Linked DNA regions of Stegostoma tigrinum. The protein of the gene in region 1 interacts with the protein of each later gene in a pairwise test. Links are inferred from orthologs where the notes say so. Each region holds a gene or a part of one and is shown on either strand. Other genes may lie near its edges.

What was found.
Region 2: the proteins of UPF0500 protein C1orf216 homolog (region 1) and psmc6 interact in binary tests that used the Homo sapiens proteins (3 or more experiments, as listed by UniProt). The two-hybrid records come from large-scale screens. The link is inferred for Stegostoma tigrinum from reciprocal best matches to the Homo sapiens genes C1orf216 and PSMC6.

The regions. Positions count from the first base shown.
Region 1 is NC_081377.1:22,225,083-22,228,837, forward strand, and holds the start of UPF0500 protein C1orf216 homolog, read right to left. Parts: upstream 2,348-3,755; 5' UTR 1,859-2,347; intron 1-1,858.
Region 2 is NC_081363.1:46,105,412-46,109,166, reverse strand, and holds the start of psmc6 (26S proteasome regulatory subunit 10B), read right to left. Parts: upstream 2,186-3,755; 5' UTR 2,112-2,185; coding exon 2,027-2,111; intron 1-2,026. UniProt on the Homo sapiens protein: Component of the 26S proteasome, a multiprotein complex involved in the ATP-dependent degradation of ubiquitinated proteins.

The sequences.
Region 1 (3,755 bases):
ATGTCCAGCTTTGTGAGGGACGGCCCTCCTGTAAGCTTTGTGTCTAAATCCTGTATGTGAGGGATTGGGCATATATCCAGCTTCAGTTGTAATGCCTGTCTGAAGTCCAGTTGGGCTTGAGTTAGTAGGCTACATCACCACTGAAATAACTCTACAGAAGCTGATACTTCGTCACTAATTCACCCCTTATTTACACACGGAGTGTCTTTGATACTGATCCAGCTCCGTCAGAGTCAGCTCTGAGAATGAATAGGATGTCTGACACTCATATTCTTACGTGTCAGCCAGGGTTCCCCGAATGGACTAGATTAACAGCTCTAATCAGGGAACTCATATTCTATGAGGTCCACCTGGCTGATCTTGTTACAATCACTACAGAAACCTCTTATAAGTTGTACCATTTGAGAAAGATGTGGTTCAGGTCAGCCATTTCGCAACTCAGTCAAACACAGTGTACAAAGGGAAGATTATTCCTCAATGAATTGAGAACATTTGAAAGATAAGGCATTATAGTTGAATTATCCCAGTTTATTTCTCTCTTATGATGAGTGCGTTCTCAAAAAACAAACTGAAATTGATGTTTATCTTTAATTGTCTTTTCAACAAACATCAATGGGTCTTTTTAAAATATATGTCTAAAAAGGCCCTATTTCTTAAACATCAAAAGGCAACAAGCATGCCATAATTTCTTTTAAATTCTGAATAGCTCATCACATGAATTATCAGTTCTGTCTGGCAACCCATTGGAATTTCAGATAATCTGTACTGGCTTTCATGGAAGTATGTCTCTATATGACCACGCTGAAGTCACTGGCTTGTGTTTAAATTGACCTTGTGCTTGTTTATTTCCAACCACGAATTCGCGCACACAATAACTCCTTCTGTAGAGGAATGGTGCTTGCAATTCAAAGTGGGCACACACTGTATATGATACAGTTGGGTTTAAGACTTGTTGCTTATTTTGCAACTGGGTTATTTAAACCGCACTGCTTTTGAACAGCAGCATGCTCCAGGGTAAATTACATTACTCCATAAACTCCTAAATTATGCATGTAATAACCTGTGAACAAATATAGTGACTCTTTAAGACAGAGAAGTTAAAACTAATAGAATGCAGTTGTCTGTGGGATGCAACATCATTGCTGTTTACTAATCAAGTTAATGCAAAAAAGTTGAATGCCTTAATGTCTCACAAGTAAACAATATGACTCTGCATGAACACGGTCTGTTCCTTTCCAATGTACTACCTGACAAGGATTGTTCCATTCAATAACTTTTGTTCTATTTAAATTTACAATTTAAAGTTTATGACATCACAGACTTAATTCAGGGAGATTGCAATCTTGACTTAGTTTGTTACAAAATATCATATAATCCAAGCATATTGCAAGGATAAATGGTATACCTTGCATTCTAGATCCTGAAGGGTACAGTCGCCTCCTAAAATAAGCATTTCATTCCTACAAGCTTTCTTTCTGTGTTGTTTGCAACAACTGACACAGGTTTCGAATTTTGAACCATTCTGCGATGCTTGTTCAGGAGGTGGACATCAACAGAAAATAGTTTAGGGTAAGGCCTTGAAAAATTAATCGAGGTCCATGTTAAAAGGGTGAGAGAGATTAGCAAGGTAAAGAAATGTTGCAGAAGATTTATATGGTGCAGGCATATGGAAACTTTGTGCCATCAATAATGAGTATAGGCATGGAATTAAACAATGTAACAAGAGGCTTTGTGAATTGTAATCACATTCTTCCCCTTCTTTACTCAATGTGATAATACAGATAATGTAACTGCAGTCTTCATTCCAAGAGAGCACAGATGTACTATCTGCACTGTGCAGCAATCAAGGTGGACTTACCTTTCTTTTCCCATAAAATGAAGCTACTCTCCTCTTCCTAGTTTGAACAGAAAGCTGCTCCTTTTCTTTCCCTTTACTTGGTTTTCAGCAACATTCCTTGCAACTTTCATACTGTGTGGCATTCTTTCTTCCATCAGAACACTCCAGTTTGTGTCTTGATAGTTCTGGATCATTGACAGCTTTTTGTGCCATAACAAAGCTTGGCAATAAACAGCTCACTATTTTCCTGTTTGGATTTGCAAGTTGCTTAATTGCCTGGTGGGCCTTCTGTATCTGTTTCCGTTACTGTTTCAATTTCAGCCAAATTTTGAAAGACTGCTTTAAAAAATAATCTGCACATACCTCCATTCACAATGTCACATTGTAACTTGCATGCACTCTGCGATGACACAATCAGGGTATCCACTAACCTTTCATGCGACTGATATTCCTTGACACTATTTTTAATGCATCGGTTAATGTGTTTGTGTCAAAATCCTAGGCACACGATTCACAATGCTGTCATTAGCCTGTTTACTGCAACCAGCGTTGAAAAAGTGCCACCGAATTTGTCACTAGCTTTTAGACACAGCTTCTATATTCCACACAGAGCAGCAGGAATGAAAAACAAAGAATGGAAAAATGAATAAATAAATGCATCAATAGAAGCCATTTGAGAATCCTACTGATACATCTAAAAGCCTTTCATTCCATCCCTATTTCTTTCTTCAGAAGCAATATATTTGATTCCATTTGTACGTTACAAATTGGTAGGTGTAAGAGAGCAAAACGAAACATGGATTAGCAAATACTATTTAAATATAAAAGATGTTTAGGTTAAAATAGAATTGGTTCTAGGACACAGGGTGCAGAATGTTTTTACATAACTGCAAAAGAAGGTAGAAAATGGTTAAGAAATTTCACTAGATGTTCAAACCTTGGAATTCAGCCTGAGAGCAAAAGTCCCAGAGGTCTTTGGGAAGTGTCAACTTCCTGTGCAAGCAGCACTAATGATGGAGAGATTAAAGTAAAAGCTTGATTCCAGAACTCTCAGGAGACAAAGCAGACACTTTGAGAGCTGCAATCAAAAGGAACTCATTCTGAGATCAAAGCTGCCCAGACCTTGATCTTGGTGAGGTTTCTGCCAGGACTCTTAATTCTACCCTGCAGAACTGCATAGAATTCAATTCTCTCACCACTCTAAAGAGAAATCATTGACTGTACTATGATTTTTCTGGTGTTTAGGAATGGCAACATCCAGTGATTGTTTTATATTATTGCACATACAAAGTTAGGAAATTATATTTCAACCAGTGTTTGGGGAAAGTACACCAGTGAAACCCTGAAATAATGCCCACTCCTTGTGAAAATGTCACAGTACTGAATTAGGAAATGGATTAAAACAAGCAACTCAGCTGGTGGTGATGACACCATAAACTGTTAAAAGAATTAATTTTATTTATATAGCACCATTTACAATCTTAGAAATTTCCAGGCTGCATAACAGTCGATGAAGTGTTTTTAAATATAGTGACTGTTATATTATAGGGAAATGCGGCCATTCATTTACATGCAGCAAGCTCTCACAAACATCGAGGTACTAACAAGATCTGTTTCAGTAATGTGGGTAGAGGGATAACAATTGGCCAGAAAGCCAGTAAGAATATCCCCACTGCTCTGTGAAATAGTGCCATGAAATTTTTGTCAAGCAGGTAAGTGGCAAACAGAGCCTCAATTTAACACCACTAGTCAGTATGTCAGACTGTTCAGTGCTCCCTCTGTATACATTTCAGTGTCAGCTTTAATTATTTGTTCATTCCTCTGGTGAGATTTGAACTTACAACCTCCTGAGACTAAATTGTTCCTGACCCAAGGTTGGCACTTCGAGCTAGACCTAAAATTTTGAATTATAGCATGC
Region 2 (3,755 bases), on another chromosome or scaffold:
CAAACATTGTCAGATTGTGCGACATTGTTCACAGACAATTCCACAAACTTGTTGCACTTAAGACTTCAGTTTATTTAAAAATAAATTTCTCCTTTGTAATTAATGCATACAAGTTCAAGATTGGTATTTAATCTTTTTTCACCTACATATACAAAACTGCAGTTAATGGAGGTAGCAAGCAATATTCTCTAAGATCTATTCAGGAGTGTAAATTTTCCAGCAAGCTAGGAGACAGGACTCCACCCACCAAGAACACATTGCCAAAGCCTTGTTAATTGGGCTGTACATCAGTTAAATCACACAGTGGAGGGAGAAGGTATAGTGGAAGCAAAGATTTTGAAAGAAATTTGATAGTAACATGTAATGCACAATATTTTGCCACAAGTATGCCATAATATTAACAATAATTGCTGCTTCCTTTTAATTACATGAAGCACAAGATTATTTAAAAAAACACTGATCAGATGCTTCAAAACTAAATACAGCCCATGAAATATTTCACTGCCAAAGCAAGTTATTTACGAGCTAACATTTTTCCACGTATTCATTTAAATACTACCTTTGTGATAACATTTTTATAAATAAAAAGCTTTACTAAATAGAATATTGCCCTGTTTTGATGTAACACACAGAAAATTTCCCAAAACAAGCTTTATCAAGCGATTTCCGCATAAAGGGTATCTACACAGCAAATTTAAAAAGAAAGTGAAGTTTCACCAAACTAATCTTGGGACAGCACATTTGTCTCAAGAGCAGGGACTGAAGAATTAGGTCTGGGTGCTCAGCATTTTAAAGAATGAGAAGTGATTTCAGGTAAACTTACAAAATTCTCACAGGATATGACGGAACAGGTACGGATACAAGTTTCCTCTGGCTTGTGAGTCCAGAACCAAGGAAAACAGTCTCAACGCCAATATTCACTCAGAGGGTGGCGAATCTTTGGAATTTTCCTTCTCTGGAGAGATGTGGGAGTTTAATCCCAGAGTATGCTCAAGACCCAGAAACTGATACATTTGATGGGACAAATGGCCTACTCTTGTTCCTATTTCCTCTGCTGCCGGTCAGTAATTAAACAAACATAGATACTTGAAGCATGGAAAGCATTAATTTAGTTATCCACCTCACATACTTACTGGACTGTTTCCAGTATTTTCTATTTTTTTTGTTACAGACTCAAGCAAGAATATGTAATTATAATTGGGAATAACGTTACTTTTGTATTTTATTTCACACTACATACTTTATCAATTTCTACAAGTAACAAGCGAACTGATAACACGAAAATTTTATAGATCCTGTCAGTGCTTCATTCAGCTTTTGTTAGTATCCCGCACAGTTAGAATAACATTATGAAATGAATTAAAATATAAATAACGTGAAAACAGCGTTCAAAACTGCCTCAACAAAATTATCCTGAACGGAATTCTGCAAATGTGAGCGGTAGGACTACTTGCATCGCTTTCAAAGAGTTAGTACAGGCACGAAACCAAATAGTATTCCTCCACGTTATTAAAAAAAATTGCATTCGTGAGAAATATAAAGATACAAACCACTTATGGATGCAGTTTATTCCGCGAAATGCCACACTATCAAATTAGACAGGAGATAACTGTCAGTAATTTTTAATTCCAGATTTGTTTAATTAACTGAATTTGAAGTTTCAGGGTGCTAGGATAGGATTTTAACTTCTAGCTCCAGATTATTAGCCGCTGATGGTTGGGATCATCTCCCTTCCAATGGGGCCCACAACAAACTCCTTTCACTTCACATAGAATCCCGGACTACAATTTCCTACATCTTACTTGTGTGATTTAGAATATGAATCACAGCGGGAACTGGAGCGAAGCCTGGTCTGGAAGCAGACCGGTGAGGCTGCTCCTTGAAGCTGCGATTCACTCGGCCCCGGCTTTACCCAGCATGACAAAGCGAGTCAGCATCAGGCCCCGTTTCTACTCGCTCGTACATAACATAGAAGCCGCAGTTACACCCCAACCCATTAACCATGAGTAAAATGTGGAAAACATACACTCTTTCAGGCGGCCGTCGATCTCTTTGTGCTCCAATAATTTTTTCCTGTAATCCTGAAGCGCCTTCTCCCTCGGATCCGCCATTGATGTTCAGCACCAAACACCGCCTGACGAGACGAAGCTCCCAGCCGCATTTGACAATGAGTCTCTTCTGAAGCAAGAGTAGCCACTGACTGGGAAGGTATCTTACCTCCAAAGTGTACAGCCTCTAGTGGCTAGAGGTGGTATGGCTGTCGTGTGGCTAAGCCCAGCATCTGGTTTGGCCAGGCGGAAGTAATGAACGCGCCAGCAGCTTACATCATATTGATGTCTCAATGGTTATTGTTGAGGTTTTCTGTAAGAAGCATTGCGGTTGCTGGGAGATTTGTCGTCATAGTCCGTTGTACTGTCTGTCTTGTGCTATCCTCACACATTCACTGTAGATTTTCTGCAACTGGCTTTGTGTTGTTTGACATCCAACCCCTAAATAGGTTGGCCACTCTTTCTGCTGTCCTTCCCTTCCCACTCCAGAAGATTGTAATGCTTCGAATGTAAACATATCTTTAGTTAAGTGAGCAGACCAAAACTGTACACAATATTTCAGATGTAATCTCACCAAAGCCCTGTACACGTATAGCAAAATATCCCTACTTTAAATTCCTTGCAATAAGCAACAACATTCATTTGCCAACTTAATCATGTATTGTAATACAGTCTTGGTTTTTGTGACTTACTGTAGAAGATATCTTTCCGCATCATAGTATTCTTTAATGTCTCTCAATTTAAATCAAATGCTGCTTTCCTAATCTTCCTGCCAAAATGGGCAAGTTCAAATCTCCCCACATTAAACTTTATTAAACATTTGTCCGGTCACTTAATCTGTTAATAATAAGTGCAGACTCTTCACAACTTATTTTATCACCTATCTTTGGGTAATCAGTATTTAACAACCATACATTTATTCTCCTCATTCAAGCTATTGATTTAAATTAGAAATAGTTGAGGCCCCAGCATGATCCTTGTGGAACTCCACTTGTTTTTTTCTTGCCAACCTGGAAATGATCGATCTACGCTTATTCTCACCTGGAGGTCATAATTTGTGTAATAAATATTGATGGGAACCTTATCAAATGCCTTTTGGAAATCCAAAAACACTGCAAGGACATTTTCTCTGTTATCTTTGTTGCTTATTACTTCCTTAAATAACTGACAAATTAGTCAAACACATTTACACAAAACCATGTTGATTTTGACTTATAGTAAGATTTCTAAATTCCCTGCTATAACCTTCTTAACAACAGACTCTGGCATTTTCCATCTGCCAGCTCTTATACTACCTGGCCTATAATTTCTTGATTTCTTTCTCCCTCCTTTCTTGAATAAAATCTTGAATACATTTGCCATTTTCCAATCTGATGAGACAGTTCCAGAATACAGGGAATTTTGGACATTGAAGCTAATGCATCTACTATCTCAATAACTAGTCTTTTTAAGACCTTAGGGTGAAGTTCATCAGGTCCTGGTATCTTCTCTACCTTTAATTCTAATATTATTCTTAGTATCCTTTTCCTAAGAACATAGAACATAGAAAGGTACAGCACAGTACAGGCTGAGATAATGGGAACTGCAGATGCTGGAGAATCCAAGATAATAAAGTGTGAAGCTGGATGAACACAGCAGGCCAAGCAGCATCTCAGGAGCACAAAAGCTGACGTTTTGGGCTTAGACTCTTCATCAGAGAGGGTGTCT